4 linked regions of the Arabidopsis thaliana genome follow. The protein of the gene in region 4 interacts with the protein of the main gene of each other region in a pairwise test. Each region holds a gene or a part of one and is shown on either strand. Other genes may lie near its edges. The genes, in order: COL9, BZIP53, RGL3 and BZO2H3.

The links.
Region 1: the proteins of BZO2H3 (region 4) and COL9 interact in binary tests that used the Arabidopsis thaliana proteins (3 or more experiments, as listed by UniProt).
Region 2: the proteins of BZO2H3 (region 4) and BZIP53 interact in binary tests that used the Arabidopsis thaliana proteins (3 or more experiments, as listed by UniProt).
Region 3: the proteins of BZO2H3 (region 4) and RGL3 interact in binary tests that used the Arabidopsis thaliana proteins (3 or more experiments, as listed by UniProt).

Annotation. Positions count from the first base shown.
Region 1 is NC_003074.8:2,438,457-2,446,700, reverse strand, and holds COL9 (CONSTANS-like 9), read right to left. Parts: upstream 5,133-8,244; 5' UTR 4,861-5,132; intron 4,239-4,860; exon of another isoform or gene 4,236-4,238; 5' UTR 4,208-4,235; coding exon 3,680-4,207; intron 3,579-3,679; coding exon 3,408-3,578; intron 3,315-3,407; coding exon 3,025-3,314; intron 2,930-3,024; coding exon 2,800-2,929; 3' UTR 2,169-2,799; downstream 1-2,168. Other genes in the region: AT3G07660 (flocculation protein (DUF1296)), read left to right, coding at 69-227, 556-1,053, 1,142-1,426; AT3G07640 (period circadian protein), read right to left, coding at 7,040-7,168, 7,264-7,653.
Region 2 is NC_003074.8:23,090,058-23,096,980, forward strand, and holds BZIP53 (basic region/leucine zipper motif 53), read right to left. Parts: upstream 2,794-6,923; 5' UTR 2,228-2,793; coding exon 1,787-2,227; 3' UTR 1,529-1,786; downstream 1-1,528. Other genes in the region: AT3G62400 (cytochrome C oxidase subunit), read left to right, coding at 356-616; CP12-2 (CP12 domain-containing protein 2), read left to right, coding at 949-1,344; AT3G62430 (Protein with RNI-like/FBD-like domain), read right to left, coding at 3,738-4,025, 4,114-4,254, 4,363-5,247; SAF1 (F-box/RNI-like superfamily protein), read right to left, coding at 6,047-6,337, 6,418-6,555, 6,725-6,923.
Region 3 is NC_003076.8:5,762,409-5,770,032, forward strand, and holds RGL3 (RGA-like protein 3), read right to left. Parts: upstream 3,839-7,624; 5' UTR 3,480-3,838; coding exon 1,908-3,479; 3' UTR 1,581-1,907; downstream 1-1,580. Other genes in the region: PC1 (pollen calcium-binding protein 1), read left to right, coding at 281-532; AT5G17500 (Glycosyl hydrolase superfamily protein), read left to right, coding at 4,971-5,375, 5,657-5,904, 6,221-6,547, 6,639-6,835, 6,908-7,311. UniProt on the Arabidopsis thaliana protein: Probable transcriptional regulator that acts as a repressor of the gibberellin (GA) signaling pathway. No effect of the BOI proteins on its stability.
Region 4 is NC_003076.8:10,793,955-10,801,262, reverse strand, and holds BZO2H3 (bZIP transcription factor family protein), read left to right. Parts: upstream 1-2,957; 5' UTR 2,958-3,115; coding exon 3,116-3,382; intron 3,383-3,621; coding exon 3,622-3,712; intron 3,713-3,815; coding exon 3,816-3,927; intron 3,928-3,991; coding exon 3,992-4,067; coding exon of another isoform or gene 4,068-4,149; coding exon 4,150-4,275; coding exon of another isoform or gene 4,276-4,342; coding exon 4,343-4,615; 3' UTR 4,616-4,806; downstream 4,807-7,308. UniProt on the Arabidopsis thaliana protein: Transcription factor involved in controlling responses to starvation. BZIP2-BZIP63-KIN10 complex binds to the ETFQO promoter to up-regulate its transcription.

The sequences.
Region 1 (8,244 bases), on a different chromosome or scaffold from region 4:
TATATAATTTTTAGGCATTGTCACCTCTAATATGTCTTCGTAATGAACTATACTTTTGTTGTTTGAAGGGCCAACAACCTTTTGATACGGCGAGCTACTATGCTCAGTTCTACCGCTCAGGTCCTGACAGTGATGGCCGTGTTTCTCCCTTCGTTTCCCCAGGGGTTGCCTCCAAATTTAATGGGATTACAGTATTGCCTCCGCATTCATCTCAAACCATGCAAGAGGTTAGTGTAGTTTTTGGGGGTTAACCTTTTATTTTATTTTATAATTCACACCTTCACGATTTTGATCTAATTTAAGATGGTTTTGAGACTTTTTCGTTTAATTCAATCTTCCAACAGTAGCATCATCAATCAAATAGTCAAATTTTCATGTCAGCTACTTGGATCTAAGTCTCATTTTTTCTTCTTGATAAAATTGAAGTAAACCTATGGTTTCTAATTGGACTGCATATTTATATGTTCAGAAGCCCTATAACACGTTTGAAAGATAAAAATATAGCTGTTATTATTACTTTTCTGGTCTGAAATGCTTGAACATGTTGATTTGTAGGGTGGAAATAACTTGGTCCTGTCTACTGCTAGTCCACCACCACTGGTAACTCAAGCTGCTGGACTAATGCAGAGCTCTATACCTGTCACGCAGCAGCCTGTTCCTGTTTTCCGCCCTCCGGGCTTACATATGTCGCATTATCCACCAAACTACGTGCCATATGGATACTTCTCCCCATTCTATTTACCTCCCCCTACAATGCACCAATACTTAAGCAATGGTGCATATGCTCAGCAACCTCAGGCAAGCGGTGTATATCCTCCACCTCCTGGAACTGCAACAGGAGGCAAATACACACTCCCTCATTACAAGCCTGGGACTAATACAGGAAACATGACTCATGTCGGTATTACTGGTGGGTATGGACCAACATATGGGTCTTTCCCAGCAGGATATAATCCCACCTCTGCTGCATCGGCCGGGAATTCGACTTCCAATGAGGATCTCAACTCATTGCAGTTGAAAGAAAACAACGGCTACAGTACAACAGGGCAACAGGTACATATTCCCTCTCCCTCCCAAAACCAACTCAGTTGAAAGTTTAGTTCCCTTTCCTGATTAATTTATAATTGTGGGGTCTCTGCAGAGTGAAGCATTACCTGTATGGATTACTGGACCAGGACGAGATGTGCCAAGCTCTTTCTATGGTTTACAGCACCATGGGCAACACGTGACTTATGCTCCAGCACAAGCTGGTCACGTCGCATTCCCAGGTATGTACCATCCGGGACAAGCAGTAACAGCAACAGGAGTCCATCATCCGCTTTTACAACAGTCTCAAGGTGTGGCTGGAGCTGAAATGGTTGCACCTGCGCCTAACGTTTTCCAACAGCCTCAGCAAACACAGATGAATTGGCCAAGTAATTACTGAAACAGGAAGTATAAAGGAGAAAAAGATTTTGAAGATTCAACAAGTTTCAAATTCCAGAGAAATCAGGAAAGATATATGGGTGCGGGTTTTTGTTGACTTGCGTGTGTGTGTGTGTGCCATCTAACAAATTACCAAAGAGATGAAGCTATGAAGTTGAAGGCTTAAGCATGAAGGAGATTTACAGAGAGAATGATCATAAGGGTAGGGAAAGGTATTGTATGAAACCAGTGTTTTGGTGTTTTCTATATCTTTTTTTTTTTCTTTTGATTTAGCAAATTTTTTTCTTTCTTAGCTTTTAAGAGGTCTTTTTTAGCTCTCTTTTTAAGTTTCTGAGCTAAGACAAGAACTTTGCTACCTGAGTCTGTATCTGAAGACTCTTCCTCTCTTCCTTCTTTTCTTAGCCTTTGGTCAATGTTTTCAAATCCGAGTCAGCAATCAAATTGGACAAATTTCTTGCTCGCGAATCAACTTTCTCTGAATGTTTATTCCTCAATTCGAAAATTAAGGCTTGTGAATATGAGTCTTCAAGAAAATTCACATTAAGTTGTAAAATCCGAAATACTCCAAATATAAATGTTAAAAACTTTTGGTCCATATGTCATCTTGAAAACTACTGTTTTGCATCTCAATCACTTTTGATAAGTGTTCAAAATTGACATAGTAGAAGCTAAGTTTAAGTAAACAGCGATAAAGCGCCTAAACTCACATAAATGGACTCCCCTTTATAATCTGACATTTAAATAATAAAGTTCAGATGTTTTGCATTGCCTCATTGTTGGATCAACCTCTTGAAGTTACTACAAACCAAAATCTCGTTAAACTTGAACTAGTACTAGTCGGTTGTTACAGAACGAGACTTAGGTTAAGTGGTACCACATAACTTTCTTTGTCTATAGAAGAATGTGGATAATGTCTTTAATTTACAAGAATGCCGAGTACAAAACAGAAAAACATTTATGAGTATACAAACAAATACAAAGGCATATACAACAATCACATATTGTTTAAATTACTCTAAATCTCCTTCCCTGCCTTTTTAACTACCAAGAGAAGAACAAAATTCATGGAACCCTGATCAGTGTGAGACGCCTGAAGAAGAAGAAGAAGAAACCGGAGTTTGGACAAGGAAAGTCAGAGAATAATCCCTCTGGTCAAGAATGAAGCTTCTGAGGCCAAAAAAAACGATTGAATCCCAAGAATGAATGATTGCTTACAAGAGTCAGTCTTGAAATCTGTTCATGCTACAGTAGTCTTGTTTTGTTACTAACCCACAATTTTCCAAGTTGCTCACTTGAAACTGCCCATAAGTCAAAACCTTTCTTGTTCGATTCTTCGCCATGTATATATATCTATGTACCTTTCAAAAGGAGTCTTCAATAACTTCTGGTTGGGGTGAGAGGGTCGTAATCATAAGCTTCACCAGCTTTGACAAATCGCCCCTTTACACGCCGTCTCACATCAGCTCTTGCTTTGCGGGAAGCATACCTCACTCTCTTATCAAACCTGTTTCCAGAAAAAAGAAGCCAGAGTCACATTAGGAAAATCCTGCACTCACTTCAATGATGCTCATGTATTTGCAGTTTCAGACTACTACTTACTTGCGAGCCTTCTTCTTCTCCTTGTAACGCATAACTGCGTTATTACGGGTTACTGAATGTGAGCAGGCATTGTTATCCTGTAATGTTGGAGGATACCATGGTGGCTCCCCCGAGAGCTGTATGGAAGATGATGCACCACATTCTTGGAAATCTCCAGCACTACTTTCTCCAGTGACTCCAGAGAAGGATATGTTCGAATGTGCTGGCTTCGATGCGAAGCAAATTATTGGCTCAGTTTTCGAACTCATGAACGAATCATTACTGCCTGCTGGCTGCACCGAATTCCCTCCCTGGATTGAGCAAAAACAAGAGAGCATTATTAGAATCACACAGAGATGCATCCAATTTGATAAATCTAAGAAGAAAGGGTAATGGATAAAAACCTCTGGAGCTGTTTGGTGCTTATGGAAAAGGCTATCGATTCCACCATGCCCGAATAGCTCTTCAGAGGGGTTAAAGGCGGTACCAAAGAGTTCTTCATAGTTCTCAAGTGCCATGTCAACTTCATCCATACCAAGGTTCCCGTAGAAGTCATCTTCACACATTCCAACATCCTTTAAACCAAAACAAACAACAACTCTGAATTTAGTAAAGAAATGATAGATATGTATATCCATGGATGCAAAAGTAATAACATATTGAGAAAAAAAGTTACCTTAGCAGAAGATGATTTTCCTTGTGGTACAGAACTGGTTTCAGGAATTGAAGAGGATCCAACCAAGACATCTTTCTTATCCTCATTACAAGTTTTCTTGTCGGTAGGACCATCATCGTCTATATTCATCATACCCAGTTCTTGTTCACAAATAGATTGTCCAGCTAAGTCCAAACAGAAAGACCAAATGGAAGCGAGTTCTGAGCTGGAAGGGCAACCCGAATAGCAACTTATGGTTTGCCTCTTATGCTGCTGCGGCGAAGTAGAAGAAGACGAAGAATTGTTGTTGTTGCTGTTGTTGTGGCCAGACCAGTCACAGTTTTGACAGAGTGAAACCCTTTCTTCAACACACCTGACAGTAGCAGGCTGAGCATTGCATCTCTCGCAGACAAGTGTCCGAGAATGTCGTTTGGACAATGCATTAGCGGAATGAACACTCCGGTCACAGGAGAGACACAAACAAGCTGCATCGGATCGACAGTACACCATAGATCTTTGTTCACCACAGAAGTCACACATGTAACCCATCTTCCTTGGCTCTGACCAAATCAACTTTCTGCTGTCCAAAAAAGTAAACAAATTATTAGATGAAAAAGAGAGAGACTTTTGGTTCAAAAAAGCAAGCCTTGAAGAAGAAATAGATGGAATCTTTCTGAATATAGGTAGTAATTTCTAAAAAAAGGTTGTAGGAGATTAATAACCAAAGGAGAAGGATAAAAAAGGGAAAGGAAACCTACTTTCATGAGATTTTACTCAATACAGAGCTTTTATTATAAACAAGAGTCAGAGACCAAAACCTACAAATGGATATTACTGAAAATCGAAATAAATTAATAAAACAACAACAACTCAAGCTTCAAAGTATAAACCCCAGATCAGTAAATCTAGAGATTTTGTTTGACTTACTAGTTCAAATGGAACTGAATCGAAAAAATCTGAATTTCCAATAAATAACGAAAACTTTTGGATCAATCCCAATCATCATCATCCGAACAAGTTTTAAAACCCCAAATCAAAAGATCCAATTCAACAAAAATCAAAACCAACCCTTCATCGATATACAATGAATAATCAATCACTAACACCAATTATACAACAGATAGCAAGAAAATAAGAACACACTTGGGATTATTAAAATCAGAAAAGAAAAGACAGAGGGAGAAGAGAAACAAACAACTCACGTAAAGAAGATCCTTCTTGTGGACTACTACTATCTTCTTCAGAAGTTGAATCCAGAAACTTTAGAGACAAATAAACAAAGCCTAGAAACAGAGAAGATGATGACTATTCCAGAACTTCTTCTTCTTCTTCTTCTTCTTCTTCTTCTTGTTGTGGCTTCTCTCTCTCTCTCTGGAGGAAGAAATGAAAAAAAAAAATGAATGGATAGACAATGGGTGGGTGTGTCCGCAAAGGGACATGTAGGCGCTTCTGACATAATCTGATTTATCAAAAGTGCCTAATTTCCTTCCTTCTCTTTCTTTTTTTTATTAATTAAAAAGACGAAAAAGTGCAAAAAAGTTCGTGTAGGGTATTGTGGGTCCCTCTCGTATTTATAGTGAAAGCAATAAAATTTTTATGGATATTTCTTAAAGATATTACTATTAGAAAGAAAAGAAAAAAAGGTTGTATGTTTTTTACTCACGCGCATGCGAGTATTGAAGATAATCTACTCGCGACGTGGAAGTTACCAAGTGGCTAGTTTGTGCCATAATGGATTCTCAAGCGTTCACTTTTTTGATGCTTTTCGACGAATCAGAATTCAGAAAATCTCCCTCTCTCTCTCTCTCTCAGTCTCAGATAATAATAATAATAATTGATAAATCTGTTTGCTTTGACCTTACAAAAGCCAAAAATATCTTCTTCTTCTTCATTTTTCGGTGGGCGTATATAACAAAAATATCTTCTTTTGGTAGAACAAATAAAATAAATTAATGATATTTATCATTGAGGGGAGAGAGAACTGAATGAAAACCAAAAAATATCTGCCAAGTTAGATACGTCTGTATAACTCTTTCAGACCAGAAAGATATTTCACACTACGTCTACGTACTACTAGCCTTTGCCCCAATATTCTTCATAAAAATAATAATCATAAAGTCGCTGAAAAATAATGAAATCAATATGATAGATCTCTCTTTTGTCCTTTTTCTTTCCTCATATTAATATTGTTCACCGGTTTACTTAAACCCATTTCTTTATTTCGATTTCTTGGGTACTCGATATCGATTTATTAAATTGAGTAATATAAAAAAGCAAAACATGATAGACCAAATATGAAAGAATGATGGTTAAGTCTTGGATGAAACCCCACCTCCATTTTTTTAAGTGTCTGACTGTTTTCACATGTTTACAATTTAAGTTCCTATTGAATATACGATTTAGTACCACTAAATAATTGATCATAACTTCAGTTCAAAGTTTATAATTACAAGATGAGAAGTCGAATTGAAATGATGCATTGTTAATCAGAAAACTATTGTTTTTGAAATTGAGCAAGTGTTAATTTTTAAACTCATATAATATAGTATTAGTTAATGGTGAGTTAATATTGTGTTTCGTTCTCAATTAAGAAAACATCAAAATGAATTGCTCTTTATCCAGACTCGTATGTATCCAATCAAAGACGAATGATCAAAGACCCTAATTGGTTAAAATATTAACAAATCTGCCTGGCAAATAAGTGAATAGTAGTCATCTAATCAAATGATAATGAAAGCGAAAAGGCGACGATAAGACGCACTAAAAAGATCGAACAAGATATATAAAAACAACAAACAAAAAAAATAACATATGATGCTGAAATGTCAGTAGGATAAGATTCTCGGACGATCCGAAAAACTTTGGTACAAAACATCGTATTCCTTCTTCTTCATCAATATCCTATTATTAAACAACCGGCTTAGCAGTTAGCAGAGCTGACGACACCTCACTTATTTTCTCTTAAGATAACATTAACTATCTCTATTACTATACTTCATGAGTGCCTTTTATGGACTTCACACCAATTTTAATCTCTCTTTTTTTATGCCTCTCCCACCAATCATAACTCTAATCATTTGTATTATATTAAGTAATCCCACTCCTATGTTATGATCCTCCCATGAGTTGACCAAATATATGTACCTTTAAATCAAAATGCTTCTGAGAGTTTAAGATTTGGTTGAACCAAGTCAGCCCAAAAAAAAAGAAACTGTTTCTTTCATAAATAAATATCCTAGAAAAAGCAGAGTGACGTGGATTTGGTTCTGCTGAGCATAAGAATTTTAACAAAAGGGTACTACTACAATAGGGAAATTTACTGCAGGTCCAAGCAAAGACTGTAGCAGTGTTGGGCCATGAAAAAGACCTGACCTGTGAAGATTAGCCATAAAGAGCACGCCACGGACTTTCTTCTTCTTTTGATGTCTTTGATGCGCTCCACTTGATTCTGTCTCTTGAGAAAGACAGTCCTGTCCAACTAGCCACGAGCTCCCCTGTTTCATGGATCACCTGTGATGACAACAACAACACAAACTCGTTATTCAGCTGAAATCAACCAGCGAAAAACAAGCATAAACTGAGACAAAATTACTAAGTAAAATTACCTGAAGCTCTTCGTCTAGAGCTTTATGAGTTAGGCTATTGCTTCTTTGGCCTATGAGAATAGCGGTAGGCAGGCGTTTAACACGAGCTAGATGAAGCAAGCATGACAAAGGTTCATAATGGATCTGCATCGATAGTGGTGGTTTCTCGATGCGAGAAGCAAATAACCTACTGGTCTCTGTTTCTGTAGCAACTTGAACGTAATGAAGACTAGCTTTTCTGTTATTTGCTTCCAGGGATCTGTTATTGAACTTGAGCTTAGATGCCGCCACAAAGAAAGGAGCTATGATTGTGGGTAGAGTTGACGATCCCCTTGTAATTAGGTCCAGCAGTTCATTCATAGCACACACTAGTACTGGAGGCTCATAACTTCGAAGAAGAAAAATCGAGACCTTAAACAATATAAGAAATAGTCCGAAAGTTAAGCAATGAAATCATAGTCCAGAAATACACATTCAACAGAGAAACAAGAAAACATGATATCAAGTCTTGCAAGTTGCAAGATAACCAATTTGGGGATAATATTATCATCAAGGGCCAAAATCTGACCAAGCTTAGAAGACAGTCCAATATCATAAGTTAGGTTCCATTTAGCTGACAGACTGAAGAAAAGGCATTTGTTATTGCTTTTTCACTAGCCAAGTCAACACCTCTAAGCACTCTAACTTAAGCATATATAGAGACTTAGTTTTTTTTCTCATAAGGCTTTAGTTTCGGCAAATACAATTTAATGAAGACAAATCATAGTAACAGTTGCACATCCTTAAGAATCCAATCATCATATCACATTTTGCAGGTAAACAGAGTCGACTAATCAGAAAGTAATCAATCTTGTACAAATTAAGGAGACCACTATTCTTCAGCTTAACTATATCACTGAATAAAATTTCAGTTCTAAGAACAAACAACGACTATAAATAAAGCGAGAAACGAACTCAATTAAACTATGAAGATTAATAGAATATAAACGCGATTTAAAGAGG
Region 2 (6,923 bases), on a different chromosome or scaffold from region 4:
CGTAGTTAAGAGGTTAGACAGAAAATGGATCGAAATTGTACATGTTTATGTGTATATATAGACTCCAAGTGCAAACCAGTAGAAATTAAGAGATCAGGTAGATTAGTGTGTGTGTGTGTATAGATGTTTTATTGGTTGTCAATAAAGTTTTCAGCTTTAGGAATCGTGAGCATTGTGAAAGTATCAATTATGTTAGTATTGACTCTATGATTAAAATGTGTGCTAGGTTGAGAAGAAATGGCAGGACACAAGGTTGCGCATGCCACATTGAAAGGCCCGAGTGTTGTCAAGGAATTGATTATTGGTTTGACGCTTGGTTTAGCTGCTGGTGGTCTCTGGAAGATGCACCATTGGAATGAGCAGAGGAAAACTAGAACTTTCTATGATTTGCTTGAGAGAGGTGAGATCGGTGTTGTCGCCTCTGAAGAGTGAATGGGAATGCCTCTCTCTCACTCTCAATGTTGTTGGCTCGATTTTTCTGTTTTTATGGTTTCTTGAGATCTCAGATAAGTTACCTAAGAAAGTTGGTTGCTTGAGAAATAAACAACCACTCAGACATCAAAATTGGATATTTGTTAACACATTGTTTTCCGGAGATACAGTGGTTGAAACTTGAGACATCTGTCTTGACTTTTCCTTAAACAGTGTGTGATCATTTTATTATACTTACCAGCTTATTTTTTCTCATCTTTTTTGGATAAAATACGCAACAGGCACTTGTATCTTAGAAAACGGCTTGGATGGCTGCAAATTTTCAACATCGTACTGCTTCATAAACGATATCAAATACGTGGAACTTAATTGTTGGTTAATAGAGGATAAGAAATGGGGTTCACAGAATTAAATTCACGCACACTTCATATATCTTGTTCCCTCCCAATTATCTGAACTATCTTCTTTTATCAAAAACTATATTCACAGGCTGCCGTGTACCTTCTCCATCCAAAGATGGCAACTATAGCTACTGGTCTTAACATTGCAACCCAGCGTGTCTTCGTCACCAGCGAGAATCGGCCAGTTTGTCTCGCCGGTCCGGTCCATTTGAACAATTCGTGGAATCTTGGGTCAAGAACAACTAACCGGATGATGAAACTTCAGCCGATTAAAGCAGCACCGGAAGGAGGGATATCGGACGTAGTGGAGAAAAGCATTAAGGAAGCTCAGGAGACTTGTGCGGGCGATCCTGTGAGTGGAGAGTGTGTAGCTGCGTGGGACGAGGTTGAAGAACTTAGCGCAGCAGCTAGCCATGCTAGAGACAAGAAGAAGGCTGATGGTTCGGACCCTTTGGAGGAATACTGCAAAGACAATCCTGAGACCAACGAGTGCCGTACTTACGACAACTGAAGCGATCAAGATCCTGTTCCGGATTCATACGTATACGACAAATCTTTGTTCCGGTCCATTTGGTAATGTCAGGTTATATAAATCATGTCTTTGAATCTGAATTAGCTCTAAAAACATTTGTAATTTGTAGTTCCATAAACGAATACAAAAGCCAAAATTTCATAACAGGTAATGCGCAGCGAATAATAAGAAAGCTTGAATTCAATAAGAAACACATTAGACACCAATTACATGAGACACAAGACTAGAGGACTGAGGCTACAAAACCATACAAAGACACGAACAAATTGAAATTGCATAAAGATTGCGTTGTCCATTGACAACACAAGACTCAATTCACCAATGACACACTAATTGTTACAACAAGGACAGTAAGTAAAACAGACCAAAGACTCGAACTCAATGCTTCATTTTTGATCCTTCAGATATGAATCATCCATCTTCAGCAATCAAACATATCAGCAGAAGCTCTGATTGGTTGCATTGGACAAGGCATCTGCCAAGGGTTCTGCATAGATTCAGGAATCTCAGGAATATCCAAAGCCTGACCACTAATTTCTTCAACCATCTCAAGCACAGAGTTCAATGATCTCAACCTATCCGTCAACTCCGAAGCCTGTGCCCTCAAGACATTGTTCTTAGACTCCATTTCAATGTATTTCTTTGAAGCTTCATCAACCTGCTCAGTGATTTTAGCGTTATCATTCTTGAGAAGAGTGACTTCGTTGATCAAATCACCAAGTTGCTTCTGTTTCCTCATCCTTGACCTCCGAGCAGATTCTCTGTTAGAGATCATTCTCTTCCTCTTCCTCTCATCCGTCACCGTGGCGTACCTCGGATCATTATCGGATTCAGGACTTGTTTGCATTTGCAACGACCCCATTTCTCGTTGACTTTTTGACTTCTTCTCACCAAAATTAAAATCAATATAATATTATTCTTCTTCTTCTAGAGATATTTTCCTATAAAAACCTCTCAAAAACACAATCTGAAAATCCCCGATTTCTAAATCTATCAAAGAATAAGTTAGATCAAAAACGAAAACTGAGATCGAGAACGATTACTTCATGAGAAAACGTAGGTGTAGTAGAGGTAAACGACGGAGAAAGAGTGTAGAATTCGAATCCGACGAAACAGGATTGAGTAGCTCATAGATTCATTCCTAATTTTGTTTTTTTTTCAAAATTCCCAAAAACCAAACCCTAGATCAAAACAAGCCTCTAAGCCAAATTTCCGATGAGAAAGAAAAAAACCTAGATCTAGATCTAGATCTGAGTGACAGAAGAGAAGGAAACGAATCAAAGAAAGGAGATGAATTATCTGAGAAACAAGAATTGTGGCTGAATCGAGAAGATTGATAAACGAAAAAAAGCTTATGATAGGATCAAAGGCCAAACGAAAGAAGGCGATAAAGTAACACCAAGCTTATCCTTTTAAAGGAGAAGATGGTGATGAGCTGTCCTAAGCCTTTTTCTTTATTTTTACAATATTTTAATAAAGGAAGATAATTAACTTTTGGTCATAAATCTTTTTATTTTGTTTTTTTTTAAAACGCAACTGGGGGAAACTGACGCCAGCTGTGACGCCGCCAGCTGGAATTTTATAAGGGAAGCACGTTTTGTTGAGGGAAGTTTCTCCGTCTGTTCACGGATGGAATATTCCACCAAGATGCCTCCTCAGAAAATATCAAATATTATTGCCAAGTGTTAATTAACTGAATATTATATATTTCTGAATTTGAAAATTTCCTCACGAAAGCAACGTCTAACACACAATTCATAAGCGTAATTATAAAACGACCATTAACTATAACGAAAGTCTACCAGATTGTTGTTTATATGCGGCTCTCTTTGGTTAAAACTTAAATGATGACGTGACGATTACATCATTTTATTGACACGATTTTAAATTACAAAACACAAGACTGAGTTGGGAAGTTGGCTCGTGGGCTTTATAATAGCCTTAATTCAGCTGATGGGCTTAGCTCTCCCTTACACACTCGAAAAATCCAGTTAGAGATAAGAAAAACGCCAAGCTTATGTCAACAAAAGTTTGATCTTTTTAAGATTACTTCTCTCACAATCTTCACAAACTAGATTCTGAGCTTATGCAAAGATTTAAGAGTGTGATACAAAAACAAACTCAGTTCTCTCATGTCAATAAATGGGATATGTTAAGATTTTGTTCAAGAGGGCTTGATACGAAGTTTGCATTTAGATGAATTTCTCGGTAGCATTAGGAGATCCAACATGATCTGAATCTTTGTGTCAGCTCTTATTATTGGCTTAAGCTGAACTTCCAAAAGCTCAAGACTTGGCAATTTCTCTAACATGTGCTTTATTTGCACCATTTCTCCAACAGTTCTCATGTTGAGGCAACAAACACTTGTTTGTTCAAACAAACTTGACCTGGACTTTGCATTTGGATGAAGCTCTCGGAAGCATTAGGAGATCCGCCAAGATCTGCAGCTTTCTGTCAATCTTCTTTGTCTTAACATGAATTTCCAACAGCACCAGACACAGCAAATTCTCCAAGACATACTCTACTTGCTCCATTTCTTCAATCTCTCCACCGAACTCAGTTATCTTTAGGATCTCAATAGGGCAGGACAAAAGGAAAGAATACCCATCCAAGCATTCGCAAACAGAGTTTTCATCCCCATAGCCATGATAATGCAAAGCCTGCAAAAAGACCGGAATTTTGAGATTGAAGATTTTGTGAGTTTCAATTCTTTTGTTTGTCCAATGAACTTTTGGGGTTTTTGGTCACCTCAATGGTGAGAGTCTTTAGATTTGGAGATTTTTCAAGAAGAATACGCAGATCATCCCAACAGATAGCGTCATGAGTACTAACTGATAAATGAAACAGGTTCTCAAACACTGGGACTGCTTCCCTGAAGACCCAAAACAGCTGGAACAGAATTGAAAAAAAAAAAAAAACTAGTCAGTCATAACTTCAATAAACATTCTAATGTATAGAAAGATTTTTTATTTTAATATCTCAGTGGAGAGCACTTACGTGCATCGTGTCAACAGCTCCTAAGCGCAGAATCTGAACATTTTTCAACCCCTTGATCAGATTCCTAACATTGTAGGTATCCCCAATATAAAGAGAAGGAAGTTCTAGCTTAGCTTCCACAAGGGAGTTGAGCTTAACAACTGGATAGCTATCTCGGAGAGTATCAAAGTATTTAAAGTATTCAAGACTAGGAATATCCAAACTGATAGGCTCAAAACTAGAGCCATCATGAACCCATTCTTTACGCCGAATAGTAAGTCGCTTAAGGATCTGACTAGATACTCTGCGAGACCATTTCCAATCTTCACAGTTGTGGCCATCTATGACTAACTCCTCGAGCACAGGGCAAGCAGAAATAAGCTTTGTAAACGAACAACCAGCAGTGTTATCGAATTCGAACCGAACTGTATCAAGAAGGAGAGTCTTAAGAGCAGGAAGCCAAGCATTCTTAGGGAGAATGTCAATAACAAAACCAGACCCTAGTTTCATTTTCACAACGCTCTTGCAAGTGAAGATCTCAGAAGGCAGTGAGTAATCTCCTCTGACATTGATGTCCAGTTCAAGATCCAAGACTCCACACTCCAACACATTGCGTAAACAATCATTGACAGTTTTATACTGAGCAAAATTCAAAGACTGCAACTTTAGAGAGAATCTCCTAATACGGTGACTGGCAAGTCGAGCTAACATTATTCGATCAGCGAAATCTTTGAAACTTGCACTAATGGCAGACGCCGAGGAATCAACGAAAACAGCAATCGGTATGATGGTAACCAGATTCAGCCAGTTCTTGGAGGTATACTTCAAGCAAGTAGCTTCTTTTGTCGAAAGTAAGGAGATCACGCGATAGATAACACCATCTGGTAAATTACTGATTCTATCCATTCTTTTCTCAAACCCTAAAGAACCCTCTTTTCACTACCCAGAAAAACCTCAATTTCTAATGGAACCTTCAGTGACTTGACTTCAACATCAACCAAAATTCCCAAACTAGATCAATTTCAAAGGCTAAGACGAGCTTACTTCACATGTAGGCATGAAGCAGAAACCTAGAAATCATCGCAATCGCGTTTATGCAGAACCAAGAAAACCGAAGCGTAATTTGCAGAAATTGGGGTAGACGAGACACTCAATCCGATCAATTTGAGAGATTTCTGAAGCGAAATTGAATCTTCAATGAGAAATGGACGAAGAAGTAGAGCGGAGCCGTAGCATTTTCTTGAGAGCAGAGGAAAGAAATTTGAATTTTTATTATCTATTAATTTTGCTCATTTTTTATATACTCGGATACAAAAACAAAACCTTTTCGTTTTTGAGCCAATCATTTTGCGCCACCTGTAGTCCGCCACTCCAAATTTCGGTTTAGTGTGGGGTTGAATTGTTTAGATTTTTGAATTATTTGGTATAAGCATAACAAAACTACCAAATTAAAATTACATATATTTTCAGTCGATTTTTCAGATTATTCTATTTAATTCAGAATAAAATAAATTATTATTTCAACGATTTTGAAGGTTCAATCTAAATTGGACGTGTAATTCCTATAGTTGAATATGAGAAAATGCGAAGCTGTTTGTTTGAAAATAGATTGGAAAAAAAAAAAAAAAACGACAAACGTTCTTATATGTCAACAAAGGTTTGTACCTAATTTTGTTGAATCAATGAAGATACTTAATAAGTAAATCTAGGAAACGACCTCGAATTTGCACTTGGACGAAGCTCTGGGTAGCCTTTCCAGATCTGCTATGAGTTTCAGCTTTCTTTCACCAGTTGCTTGAGAATGAACTTCCACTAGCTCGAGACATGACAATTTCTCCAAGAAATGTTTCATTTGCATCAATTCTCTAAAGCTACCATAGTACTCAGTTATCTTTAGGACTTCCAGAGGACATGAAACTAGGAAAGAATACTCTGACACGCACTCGCAAAAAATATCGCCTGCACAACGATAGTAACTCTCGTAGTGCAAGGGACCCTGAAACAAGACGCAGAAGACTTGAGATTCAAGGTTCTATATGAGTATCTAATGAACTTTTGTGTTTGCAATATACATACGTCGATGTTGAGAGTCTTTAGATTTGGAGCTTTCTTGATCAGCATTGGCATAGAAGACCAACAGAAGTTAGAGAGATTAACGGATAAATGAGACAGCTTTTGAAACACTGGGAGTGCTTCACGGAAGACATAAAACATCTGAAACATATATATAAGAAAACCAACCAACTACAGTATTAGAAACATAAGAACTACCTAGCAAGATTTTGATTCTTATACGTCACCTAATGTTCCAAAATGTAAAACATTTTTTAAAAAGTAGTTGTAAAAATTTAAAGATCGAGTGAAAACAATAGAGTAAACTTACCTCTGCAGTCATGATAGTGTACAAGTTAAGAGTCTCGACATTTTTTAGCCCATGAAGCAGATTTATTGGATTAAATCGTTTTTCATCTCCTTTACCCCACATATAATTTTCTTCCGGACAAAGATAGAGCTTAGTCTCAACAAGGGAGTCGAGATTAACACTTAGATACTCTTTAGGAACATAATCAGAGTAATATAAG
Region 3 (7,624 bases), 5.0 Mb from region 4:
TCGATAATGGAATAAATCCATTAGCTACTTGAATCTAAATTTTGTTCAAGACCAAGTCACATCCTAATTTTGCTAAGTTTAGGTTTTAACTTGGACCAATTTCGTTCAATTGTTGTTTAAACATTCCTCCAAAAGTTCCTAAGTAAAAGCACAACCTCAACTGTTCATTCCACTCAAAGATTTATATAATTTGATTTTTCCTTATTCCTCCACCAATAAAAAGAAAGATTGTTTTCATCTTATAAAAACGCGCACACAACCACATATTCACCAAGACATTATGGCTGATGCAACGGAGAAAGCCGAGCACGACCGTATTTTCAAGAAATTTGATGCTAATGGTGACGGAAAAATTTCAGCAGCCGAACTCGAAGAAGCTCTTAAGACACTTGGTTCGGTAACAGCTGATGACGTCAAACGTATGATGGCTGAAATTGATACTGATGGTGATGGAAACATATCGTATCAAGAATTCACTGATTTTGCAGGTGCCAATCGTGGACTTATGAAGGATGTTGCCAAAATTTTCTAATTTTTTTTGCCATACTTTTACTTTTGAAATGTTTGAATTTTTTTATATATATTGAGAGATTTGGTTCTAAGCATCGTCAATTCTTATTTTTGTTGTTTTTACACTTGGTGAGTTTTAATTTATATGATTGTATCCTAATTCCATGTAATGTGATGTGAGTGGATCATTCTTGAAAAGGGGGCTAGTTTGTTTTGTTTTGGTTTGTTGAACACCACAACAACGAATGTTTTGTTTTAAAAAGATATAAAAATGGCTTTAACAGTGAAGAGAACCAAAACATTCATAATTTGTTTTGTTCCTTAAAGTTCATTATTTGGTTTAGGCTTCTCGCATATACATTTTAAATCATTGATATAAAATAAAGTAACTACATTTTTAGAATTACTTAAAAAGTAAATATATTGCGGATGCATTCTCTTTAACGTAAACCTCTCCGCCTATCCTCTCGGTCTCACCTCAAACTTTCTCCTAAGTCCATGTTAGGACTTAGCCGGAGAAACCAATAACTATGCCTACACAGCCGTCTCATCCATCGATTACGACATGCTGTGGCTGTGGGACTCATGTTCCTCTTTGTTAGGAAGTCTTATATAGTTATATTTATATAAAATCAAAAGCTGATATTGTTCGGATTGTTTAGTCTTGACTACTCAGATATTGAAGTGTTGTTACGGGTAAAATCAAGAAATGGTAAGTCTGAAGATGTTCCAAGACTTGAGGATATTTAAACATTGCCATGTTTAAAGTGAGTTTAGAGAATGAGAATGTGGTCCAACTTTATCATATCTTTCTATGAATACATGTATTTTTCAAAAGTGGTGATAAAATTAGTAGTAAATATCAAGTTTTCTTTTACACATTCCTAAGCAAAACGGTTTCACCCACTTGATCAAAAGCTGACAATGAAAACCTCTCAAAAAACCCAAAAGTAGAGTTTGGACTCCGGCTTTTCAGAATAAAAAGACTCAAGTGAGGTTTAGCTTCTTTACTTCTATCATCATCATCATCTCCCAGAAACGTTAGCCTCTATGTAATAATCGAGTCGGTCCAAATTCATTCATGCGTCATTTTGTATATATTTTGGGTGAAATTAAACGTAACGTCAATTCGTTGACAAAAAATAAAATAAACGTCATTTCTTTCATATTTATTCAAACTATGAAAACACTTGCTCGTGCTGTTGTTACATACACACATGTTCCTCGTTCTCGAATCTCCACGACCAACGAACCAACTGGGTCCCAAAAGTATAAGGCACGGAATATTTCGGGCGAAATTGTCACAAAACGAAACTACTGGGGTAAGTTAAAGTAAAATAAAAACATAAGGTCACGTTCGCTAAGTCTTTTTTCTTCTCCTCTTTATGACGACGTATCTACCGCCGCAACTCCGCCGCTAGTTTCCACGCCGATGCAGCGATTAGAGGTTTCGTTTGCCACGCAAGCATTAGGCTTCCGTCGTTCTCCTCCACTCTGTATCCATCTCCACCGCCAGATAACGCCAATAGCAAACTCGCTTGCTTAAACGCGTCTGATCCGAGGTTAACCGGGTCAAACCCGGCGGATCCCATACGTTTTCGCCACTGAGCCAGCGTCTCGTGTCGCTCGATCCTATCGCTTCCTTCCGTCGCCACCAAGTTCAATATCTGTCTCCCTAAGTAAACCTCCGACATGACTCGGTCTTGACTCGGTATCACAACACCATCTTCGAGCGAGTCGAACAAGCTCGAGTAATAGTGAAGCGCTTCGTTAAACCGGTCTAAGAAAACGTCACCGTTATGGTTCGCTTCTTGTTCCACCACTGTTACGAGACCCGGTTTAACCGCCTTAACCGTCGCTAACAGCTTTTCGATCGAACCGGGTTGGGATAAAACCGGGTGAAGCTCGAAAACCGAATTAACCACTAGAGTCTCCGATTCGGTTCGGGTCTCGAACATATCCGGTTCTAAATCGGATAACCTCTCCGTCGTTAGACCATTGAATTTGAATTCGACGCCGATGGCTTGAGCCAGCTGAGCTAGCTTCCAACCTAACTCTTGAATCCCTTCTCGATTCGACGGATTCCCAACGCCGGTGAGACGAAACGACGGTGGACCACCGGGTCGGAGAGCTAAGGCTTGCATTAACGCCGGCCATTGCATACCTTGATTAAGCCCTAGATCGATTACGTGTACGACACGCGACGTCGTAACAGCTTCTAGAATCGCCTGATTGGCCGTGAAATGAGCGAATTTCAGGTAGGGACACGAGTCGTAGAAGTTCATCTGAAGAATCTCTTCGAAGGAAGGATCAATGGCGGCGGCGGAAGGATGAATCCGGTAAATTCGACGAGCTAGGGCTTCGGCGAAGTAGGTAGCGACTTTCCCCATGGCTCCGGCTTGAGAAGCCGCGAGTAATCCCACGCGCTTGACGAGAGCATCCGCGAGGCTCAGATTCTCCAGCTGAACCGCCTCGGCGCAGGCCACTAGCGCCTGAACGAGTCTAACTCCTGTCTCCTCGATAAGCACCACGGAACGAGTTGACTCGCTGGTCACTGAGTCACACCAAGGACCGAGTCGAATCCTCTTGTTGCTGTTACTATTGCTACTGCAACACTCATCGTCGTCTGTGATTGGTCTCAGATCGCAAATCCGGTTCGGGTCAAGATCCGGGTAGTAATTAAGATCCGAGAGCATGCTCTGAGCCCAACCGGAGAGATCAGAAGGATTGTAATGAACGGTGTCATTGAAGGCATTACTAGAAGAGGCAATATCATTGGACAAGACCATTTCAAGCTGTTCAAGCTTCTGTGCAACATCTGCCATGTCTGAAGATCGAACCTTGTAACCCAAAACAGCAAGAAACTCGTCCATGTTATCGTCTCCACCACCACCACAACCATTTTCTAACTTCTCCACCATTGAAGGAGCTTCTTCTTCTACAGACGTTTCTTGATGGCTTCGTTTCATCGTCAAGAAATGGAATTTTTTGGTGTTGGAATTGGTTAGACAGAAATTGTGGAAAGAAAGGAGAAGAATTTAAACAGGAGAAGGTAAGAGAGGAGAGTTAGAGAGGTCCAATGAGGGAAGTGAGGGACCTGGAGAGTGTAAGTAAAAGAGATAAGAAGGAAGAGAGGCAGGCCATTATAATTTCGCATGTGTTTTCTTCTCTATTCTTTCTTTTCCAAATTATTTCATTTTTATTACTATAACTTTATTGAATTTCTGATCCAAGTTACAAAAAATTCGTCGCTCTGATAAGGGCGTGTAGTTTTTGTTTAATGGTCCAATGGACTGTCATAGTCTATTAAACTATTTTTTAATACCCACTAAATGTTGAATTTAGAGTTTCTAGAATTATTAAATTGGGTGCTGCAGTAGATATTAGTCATATCATATGACCTATATTGATAACCCAAATAGTTCTTCTCGAGAAATGGAACTTGTAAACTCCGAAAGTAACAGCCCGTTTTCTTCAAGTATCTTGTTTCTATAACAAAATTTTAACTAGTTAACGTGACATACTGTAATAATTTTACTGACAAAATTTGATATTTATTTTTTTAAATGATACTATCTCCTAATAATTTGTTTGCCGAAATGGTATAAAATAATACTAATTTTTAAAAAAGTTTGAGAAGAAAATAGAGGTCCCGATAGAAGTACAGCTCAAAGTATTGCAGTTAGGGAGACAACGTGACCAACCTCACGGTCGACATGTGGCGGCAGTCGACATTAGGTATCAGACGTCTACAACATTACGTTGCTTTCTTATTATTATTATGTTTTCATTTCTTTATGTGTGTAAATTGAATTTTATTCCCCATACCAAAAACATCATTTTAAACATGATAGTTACATATATAGAAGATTTTTATAATAGAGTAGAACTGAACATAAAAATAGATTTCACTCTTGAATTAGTTTGTTGGTCTAAGTACAAATGGCTTATTATTTTCCGTTTTGTGAAAATAATGTATAATCCTGTATAAAATAAAGTTTCGAGTAATTTTATATGACTTAGCGAATGAATACACAAGCTAAATATATTAGTATATTACCCTTCGTTCGTTGATATATTGGCAATTTTGAGGGAAACAAATAAATGACGAGACTATTTAATGGCCGGATACGTTTTGAAATGTTACCCAAGTTACTTTCTCGACATTTTAGGCGGATGATCCATTGACTAATTATCCTCTTAATTATTCGAACAATAAAAAAAACTACACTATCCAAAACGTGTGGTAAGAAGATATTTATCCACAATGTTCCGTAAATATCTCATTTATTTACATTTTGAAACCTATCATCAAACTAAGTAACCAACCCTGAAATATTTAGTCAATTATCTTACAAAAGAAACTCAACAAATCCCCTATCATTGTGACAAAAACCCTTGATTTCACTCTCTATATATACTTAATGATCTTCCTAAAACACAGTCACAACGAAATAAGCATGGCAAAAGCAATCGCTTTAACTGTCTTTTTGTTCTTATTCTTGTCATTAATATCTCTAACCCTAGCAACAGATTATCCACTATTCACAAAGTCTCGATGGATCGTAAACAACAAGGGCCACCGCGTGAAGCTAGCTTGCGCGAACTGGCCTTCGCACCTCAAGCCAGTGGTAGCAGAGGGGCTGAGCAGCCAGCCAATGGATTCAATATCGAAAAAGATAAAAGACATGGGATTCAATTGTGTTAGGCTCACTTGGCCACTTGAATTAATGATTAATGACACTTTAGCCTTTAATGTTACCGTGAAACAATCATTTGAGAGATATGGATTGGATCATGAGCTTCAAGGGATTTACACTCACAATCCATACATTGTCAATACTCCTCTCATCAATGTCTTTCAGGTATAAATACATAATTAATCATGTGATTCTAGTATTACATAATTTCTTCAACTCAAACAAAAACTATTCTTTTCATGTTCAATTAAAAATCCATGGTTTTTAAATAAGTCATTTGTGACTGAAAAATATGACTAAAACATGTTTTATCTTATATTGCAATAATGATTATTTTTCCATTTCTTTTCAGATCTGATCATCGTTGTAATGAAAAAAATATATTTCACATGCTTCTTGTTTTTACTATATGATATCTTCTAACGCAAGGCAACATGTTTGTGTAGGCTGTGGTGTATAGTCTTGGGAGGCATGATGTGATGGTGATACTTGACAACCACAAGACCGTACCGGGGTGGTGTTGTAGCAACGATGACCCGGACGCGTTCTTTGGCGACCCAAAATTCAACCCGGATCTATGGATGTTGGGTCTTAAGAAGATGGCCACAATATTTATGAACGTGAAAAACGTTGTTGGTATGAGCCTGAGGAATGAACTTAGAGGCTACAATCATACATCAAAAGATTGGTACAAGTACGTATTTATAAATTCCATTTTCATTTATTTATCATAACGCCCATGTGAAGCTTGAAGGCCAAGGAAATTAATACACGTTAATTATCTGTCTATTTTAGATCTTAACAGATTATATTCCGTTGTGCTATACATAATTAAATCCACAATAATAGTTAAGTACAAGTACATTAAAAAATATATATTTATATTGGTTAATATAGGAATCCAATGTCCATCAATTTAACAACAAGAATCAACGCATATAAATAATAAATTAACTTGATTCTAACCTTTTTTTAAATAGAAAAAATGATTATTATTTTTCCACATGTAGGTACATGCAAAAAGGAGCAGAAGCAGTGCATACATCAAACCCTAACGTACTGGTCATACTCTCAGGGCTTAACTTCGATGCTGACCTAAGTTTCTTAAAAGATCGTCCAGTGAATCTTAGCTTCAAGAAAAAACTTGTCTTGGAGCTTCATTGGTATTCTTTCACTGACGGTACTGGTCAATGGAAGTCACACAATGTCAACGACTTTTGCAGCCAAATGTTCTCTAAGGAGCGTCGTACCGGCGGTTTTGTTCTCGACCAAGGCTTTCCTTTGTTCTTGAGCGAGTTTGGGACCGATCAAAGAGGTGGCGATCTTGAAGGAAACAGGTTCTCGACCAAGGCTTTCCTTTATAATTACATTTAGATATTTGCTTACCAATCAAAGCTTAAAGTACTTTTATCAACCGTATACCATTAGGTACATGAATTGTATGTTGGCATGGGCGGCCGAGAAAGATTTGGATTGGGCGGTTTGGGCGGTTACGGGAGTTTATTATTTCCGCGAAGGCAAACGTGGTGTAGTTGAAGCTTACGGTATGTTAGATGCGAATTGGCATAATGTTCATAACTATACTTATCTCCGTAGGCTCTCCGTCATTCAACCACCGCACACAGGTATTCATCAATCTTGCTTGTAATTTAACCAGATTATTATTACATATAGTTTGATGTAAATTTAATAAACAGGACCCGGTGTAAAGCACAATCATCACAAGAAAATATTTCATCCGTTAACCGGACTCTGCCTAGTGAGAAAGTCACACTGCCATGAGTCCGAGCTCACGTTAGGTCCATGCACAAAGGACGAACCGTGGAGCTATTCTCATGGAGGCATACTTGAGATCAGACGCGGTCACAAATCTTGCTTAGAAGGAGAAACAGCGGTCGGAAAAAGTGTGAAACTTGGCAGGATATGCACAAAGATTGAGCAAATATCGGCCACAAAGATGCATTTGTCGTTCAACACTAGTGACGGTTCGTTGGTATGCTTAGACGTGGATTCGGATAACAATGTTGTTGCTAATTCTTGCAACTGTTTGACCGGAGATACTACTTGTGAACCTGCAAGCCAATGGTTCAAAATCTTCTGAGGTTTATTTGTTGATTTAAGCTAAGAGAGAATAAATGTCTAATTAGGATTAGTGAATTGTTTAGTTATTCTACGTTTCCCTTCATAAGCTTCGTCCTCTGTGTTTTTATGGCAGAGAGAAGAAACAATTCTCCGAAACGATGACGATTTTGTATTGCCTTACTTCTTCACAAAGTTAACTCAAAACTTTTTAGGTTAGAACCCTAAAGCATTAATATTACCCTAGTTTTCATATTATCTTTTAAGGAAAAAAAACAAACAAAATTAGACCAATTTGATGAGAAAGTATGCAAAAATCCTCCACCTGAGGATTA
Region 4 (7,308 bases):
AAAAATGAAGACGAAAACTTTAACTCTAATCAATGTGAACGATAAAGAGAAGAAGCACATAATACTCAATCTCTCTTCTTGATCTCTCCTCTTGTTTAAACATTTGGAAAATTTCCTTAAATTTAAATCTTTGATTTTCTCCCAAATTAAAAATCTAGATTTTTATTAAAGTTTATGCAAGCTCAATGTCCACATGGCCGGCCCCATTTCATCTGCGGATAAAACTGGTCTTAAACTAATTGAACTATTTGTTTTTTGATCTGGACCAAAACCCGCCTATTTGTATTTGGACTGAGCAACCCCATGGGTGATTGCCCAATCGACAGCTTTAATCGTATGTGTTCAAACTCCATTTCCTTACTTCACATATAAGTTTAGTCTTTATATGTTGGCGAAACTCTTAACTTAAAAACCACAATTTTTAGTAAGCTTTTGTACTCTCTCTGCTAAGAATTTCAAATTCTTTCTATTTTAGTATTTAGTTATTTACAACTCCAAAATATTAACAAACAAATTGAGCGAAATTGACTATAACATTATGTTATAAACCACAGCCACACAAAAAAATATGAATATTAGTACTCAATATTATTTAAGCAATCCAAACATTGCTGTCCAAGAAAATGTGGTCCGAATGATATTCAAATATTTGTTCGTTAGAAACATGAACAAAATATAAATATTTCATGTGGCTATTGAGCCTTGTTGCTAAAAAATGGGGCCATATATCCCAAATGTATGAGCCAACACGTTTCATTAGGCCCACTAATTGATCCCACCGGCCTAGCTGCATGCATATCTTTTTTTTTTGGCAATGTTCTATTTTCCAAATCTTTCAGCATTATACGGAAAAAGAAAAACAAACCAACGAATAAATAACCCATACACGACACGAAAAAAATCCACAAAAAAATGTAGAAATAGTTTCTTGAACAGATAAACCTACTCTTTTGAAAGTAAGACAACAAAAAAAAAAATCTGATAATCAGGGGTGTTCCAGTTTTACCATCGACAAACTTTTTCAAAGTAAATGTATCCACTGTCTGTCCTAATCTAAAGCTGAACAATTAAGGGTTTTAAGCCTCAAAATATATATTTCATTTTGAAAGCACCAAAACTATAAATTTCTTGTAGGACAGTGATTTTTCCGGGTTTTTTTGTTTCTCATGTTATAGGTTTAAGTCTCCAATGCATCATTTTGCTATATTTTAAATATTTATAGGCAAAAAATATTTTGGGTTTTAGGACCAACTCTGAGTGTAGCCGTTGAATAGTCCATTCATCGGATTTTTAATAAACCTTAAACATGACACCAGGTCAAAATAAGAATGATTTAGAAATTGATTCATAACCTAACCTACATAATAATTCTTCCTAAAATAAGACAAAATGTCACACGAAATTATACAGTTTGAGATTTTTCTAAACCACTTTAACATAGAAAAGTCTACAAAATTCTACTAATGGTGTAATAGAGACGTACTTTGATAAAACGTAAATCATTCTTTCAAATAGAGTTGAACTACTGATATTCTCAAAGTCAAACCACCAACATCCACTTGGTTTGCAAGTGTTATGTTTCTCTCTCACTAGATATTCTCTTGATAAAAGGTTTTGCACAAGTGTACTAATATATGCAAAAATAAAGGACCCACCAAAATATGCAACTTGAATTTGGATAGATTCTTATCCAAAAATCAGAAGTTTAGTACATTTCTCTAATCTAACTTCACTTACAAAACTATATATTATGTTCCTCTCGGATCTCTCCTTTCCTTTGTAAAATGCAAATGGGAATATTAAATGGACCCATGAAATGAAGTTACGTTACAAAACCGACGACAACTATAATATTTATTATTTATATATTCTTGTGATGCAGATCAAAATTTAAATTGACTAAAATACCCCTTGCCACGTCAGTCTGACTTGGATTTGCCCCAAAAAGCGTTGAAAAAAATATTATTAAATCCAATAAGGCATAAACAAATATTATTACATGTATATTTTAAATATTACTTTAAGCTCCTCATATTCTTCTGTTTTTATCAATTATACACCAACATTTGTTGTTTATAAATATGAACCCCTAATCGTCCCCTTTCAAACGTGGAATATAAGATCGATATATATTACACATTTGAGTAAACAATTAGGCAATGAAGTTTGTGAAGGAGACTGCATTTCTGATAATCTTAATAATTTTTGTTTTCTTAATAATATTATTTATTTTTTTTATAAAATGGTCTGAAAAATTACAATCATTACATCGTTTCTAACGGTTTTTTCTTTCTTAAAGAATCGTTTTTAAATTTAAAATTTTCGATTATTTTTGATTTTTACCGCTAATCTTGGAATTTATCTTGAGTGCTCAAGAGTGAGTAAAATCCCTTACCTCGAAAAATCCCTTTATGGTAGAGGACGTTGGTGATAGTAACAATTTTTTCTCGTAGCTCGGTCATTGTGTCGGCCATTGTGAGATCGAAGAAAGATATTGAGATAAGGTGGGTTAAGCAGTAGATTCTCCGTTTTCCATTGTCCACTAGGATACAATTTTCTTTTTTGACTCTGATCAGTTTTTTCTATTTTAATTTGTGTATCTTAATATTATTATTCGTTGTAACTGTAGGCGAATCTCACCTTTTTTAAAAACATGTTTTAAGAAAGAAAAAAAAAAGTTTGACACTTTAATTATTTTTTCCATTCTATATATCTTATAAACTAAAAATTGTTCTAAAAAGTAGAAAAATTAGTATAACTAAAACCATATTTCCAGATACTTTTTTCCTTTTATTTATTATTAGTTCTGTTGTTAATAAAAATCGTTATAATTTTTTGTATTATGACCTGTCGTTTTTTAAGATACTACAAGAAAACAGTGACCTAACAGAATAAATCAAAAGTTTTTGCTGTAAATAGAAATACACGACTCTTGTCGGGGCCATTAGGGTAATAATCAGACAATTAAATATCTAACAAAACAACAAAACTTGAAAAGAACATATTATTAAAATGCAAGACTGCCCAATCGGATAAGAAGAAACTGTTTTGACAATTTGAAACCAAAAAAAAATAAATAAAACTAAAGAAACAAACAAATTACAAAAGAGAAAAGATGGAAAAAGTTTTCTCCGACGAAGAAATCTCCGGTAACCATCACTGGTCGGTTAATGGAATGACGTCGTTGAATCGCAGTGCTTCCGAATGGGCATTCAATCGTTTCATACAAGAATCCTCCGCCGCTGCAGACGACGGAGAATCTACGACGGCGTGTGGTGTTTCCGTCTCCTCTCCTCCTAATGTTCCTGTAGATTCAGAGGAATACAGAGCATTTCTCAAGAGTAAACTTAATCTTGCTTGTGCTGCTGTCGCCATGAAAAGGGTACTCACTACTCTGCTCAAGTTTGAGTTTTTTTTTTTTTCATAGAAAAAGAAAAACAAAACCTTTTTATCTGTTAGTTTGATGAGTTCACTTGAAGCTAAGAAACTAATCTTGTTTTGTTATGTTTGAGTGTTAAGATCTTATTGGACCTTTTGTATATGATTTGCCATTATCTTCCTTGAGATTATAATTTGCATTAGTTAATTGATTTTGTGGTGTTAATATTGAAAATTTGATAGGGAACTTTCATCAAACCTCAGGATACTTCTGGTAGATCTGACAATGGTGGAGCCAATGAATCAGAACAAGCCTCTCTTGCTTCTTCCAAAGGTTTTACAATACATCTATGATAAGCCTTTTAAGATGTTATTGATAGTTGTTGTGTTTGTTTTCAAGATTTCTTGTAAATGCTAATGGACCAATCTGTATGCAGCTACACCAATGATGAGCAGTGCTATAACAAGTGGATCTGAGCTCTCTGGTGATGAAGAAGAAGCTGATGGTGAAACTAATATGAACCCTACTAATGTTAAACGCGTTAAAAGGTAACAAATTTACATCCTTTCTTGGACTTGAACATGAACATGAACGTGAATTTGTTTGTTATAGGATGCTCTCTAATAGAGAATCAGCTAGACGGTCCAGAAGAAGAAAGCAAGCACACTTGAGTGAGCTAGAGACACAAGTATGTTACTCTCGCAGCGTTCTTATTCTTTCTCCTTTAACTTTGTTTAGCTCACTTGTGCGACAATCTCCATTTCGTGTAGGTTTCACAGCTTCGTGTAGAGAATTCAAAACTCATGAAGGGTCTCACTGATGTAACTCAAACATTCAATGATGCATCTGTAGAAAACAGAGTTTTAAAAGCCAATATTGAGACACTACGAGCAAAGGTAAAATACTTTCTTTTATCTCTCTGTCTACCAAAACTCGCTATTGAAGCATGTTTGTTTTTGGCAGGTGAAAATGGCTGAAGAGACAGTGAAGAGACTCACTGGCTTTAACCCAATGTTCCACAATATGCCTCAGATTGTTTCAACTGTCTCTCTTCCTTCAGAGACATCAAATTCTCCAGACACTACAAGCAGCCAAGTGACTACACCAGAGATCATTAGCTCGGGGAACAAAGGCAAGGCCTTGATAGGGTGCAAGATGAACAGAACAGCTTCGATGCGTAGAGTTGAGAGCTTGGAACATCTGCAGAAACGTATTCGAAGCGTTGGGGATCAGTAGCTGTTAAAGAAGAATCTTGATTTGTAACATTAATCTTAAGACATATGTTAAGACAAAATGTTGTATGTTTTTGTAAAGAATTGTTTTTTCAGATTATTTAAATTTTTTTTTGTCTTCTTCGTTGATTGTTTGTGTTGAACTTCTAATTTTCATTGTACATGTCTTTTGTTAAATTTACAAAGTTTTTCTAATTTCTGTTAAGAATTACAAGTTTTATCAATTTCACCTAGTGAAACTATTGAAATGGTGATGAGGCAACGATGCAAACGTATAATTTTGGTTATTGAAACTAGAAATTACGAGTTTAATCCCAAATTTCGGCTCTTAGAATCGGGTTTCTATCAATAATTTTTGTTTAAATCCGAATTAGATTATAAATATATATATAAATAAAATAACTATAATTAAACCTTATTAATTTATATTTTTTTTCAAAGTAACCTTTAAATTATGATTTAAGATATTCAATTATGTTCGTTTTTTCGTATCGATTATTTTGATTTGGTTCAGATCGGATAAAACATCTCTAATAAGAATTAATATGCTCTTTTGTAGAATTAATATTCATGAAATATTTAGAAATTTTGTATATTATATAAAATTTAGGAGTACTTTTGACGTATTTTTTTTTGTCGACAATTTCTTTGATTACTAACCCAAAAGGGCAAATTATAAGAGAAGTATAGGTGAAATTTGTGGATCCAAAACCCCATGATATAAGTCCAAACTAAACCCATACAATAATACATCAAATTAAGACTAGGTTTAAAATGAGACACGTGTTAGCCACGTCCCACGTGTTATTGCACAAAGGAGTGGTGGAAAACAACCGACTTGCCACCAAAAATGGAAAAATCCGGTCAGATTCAAAAGAATTTCAGTGAGGAAAATCACCATTTTCAGCACTTGATTCCAACAGATTTCAGCTTCTTACTCCGTATTTCACCAGATCCATTTGCAGCGTTTTTGAAAAGGTAGAAAACCGATGTCCTTGAATCTTCAAATCTATTAAACTCTGGAATCCGCGAGAAGATGAGATGTCAAATTAGTCGCTATACGTCGCTTTGCTAATTTGGTCTCAACCAGACACGAAATCCAACTTTCACGATTCACAAGCTCAAAGAGAAACCAACATCCAAAGCCGATTAGATGTCCACTAAACGGTATGAGGATTTACTCTCCTCAGAAACGAGATCAAGCAGATGAATATTCAGAATCTTGGAATTACCCCTCAGATTTTGCCTCTAACGACATCTGCAAAAGGAAAGGAGAAGAAAAAACTAAAAAGAAATAGCCACAAATGCTAACAAAAGCTCGCAACAAACCGAACTTTGCCGGAAACCAAAAAAAGTAATTTTGATGTATTTTGTTTTTGTTTTTTCATCTTAAACTACTGTTTTAAAGAATAAAATACTGTAGTTTTCATCTATTAGAATTTAGAAGGGATACACATGCGCTAGAGATGGCCAACCTCTCTCTTTCTTCTCTCTCTAATACTTTTTAGAGAGAGGGAGGTTCTTCAAGTCATCACCATCCAGCTTAGTTTGCTGGATTTTGTGATCGGCCGAAGTTTGGTATCATCGTCAGTTTAGCCGTTAACACAACTTTTCCGTTGTCTTGTTTTTACCGTCAACATGACTTTTTCCATTGTTGTGTTCTTGCCGTCCGCTTCCATGCGAAATCTCCGATAGCTTTCTCTAGTGGTTCAATGGTTTCACTAGTTTTCCGACGGATTCTCGAGGTGCTCACCATCGTTCTGGTTATCGTCATCCTACGAACAAGATGTAGACATGTGGCTTTCCTCCTTCAATGGGTTATCTTTTTTTGTTTGGGTTGAAGTGTTTGATGACACGTGTACTTAAGAATACTTGCTTTATGTTCTGGCTCGTAATGTTTATATTTTTTTTTTATCAATCTTTTAATTATAAAGTTCAAGTTTCATCCTACTGATAAAGCTTTCAGTTTATTAGAAAATATGAACCTCTTCCAGGTCTACCTTGTGCGTGATGTTGCAACTCTTTTTGGATGCCACTATGGCTTTATCCGGTTTTACTTTGGCAACACGGTGGTATACTTCCACTGCTTGGTTGCTTTCACTGCCTTTTTGGATACTTTGTACTACTAAATCTGTTATAGTTGAAGATGGGGAACAAGATGCAACCATAAAGTAAGCAGATGATGGATGCGATAGGACCAATTGCAAGCTTGAAGCTTCAATGTTTGGTCTTATTGAGTTTTGCTATGGATTTACTATTACCAAGTTACCATTTTCCTGTTACACTTTAGTTTGTAATATATTTATGGTTATCAGTTTGTACATTTTGTTGTAACTCACTCTTGCCTCTCCACCTCGGTTTATCCAATGTTGGATGTTGCAATATGATTGTATATATTTACTAAAAGTTTGGAAAAAAAAATTAGAAGAGATTTGAAACCTGTCGAGGACAATTCTATTTAGCCACCAAAAGTGAAAAAACGTTCTGGTGTACCCCTAGTTATTCAGAGTGCCACTCAAGGGTGTGCAATTACCCTTAGATGAGTAATTGAGAATAAACGATTTGTAAAAAAAAAAAAACGGTTAATTCCTATCCATCGCTTCGCGTCTCCTTCTTCTGAGTTCTCCGGTTCCTTATTTTCTCCGATTTCGTCGGCGACTTGAGCTCTGATTTCGCCGGCGACTTGAGCTCCGATTT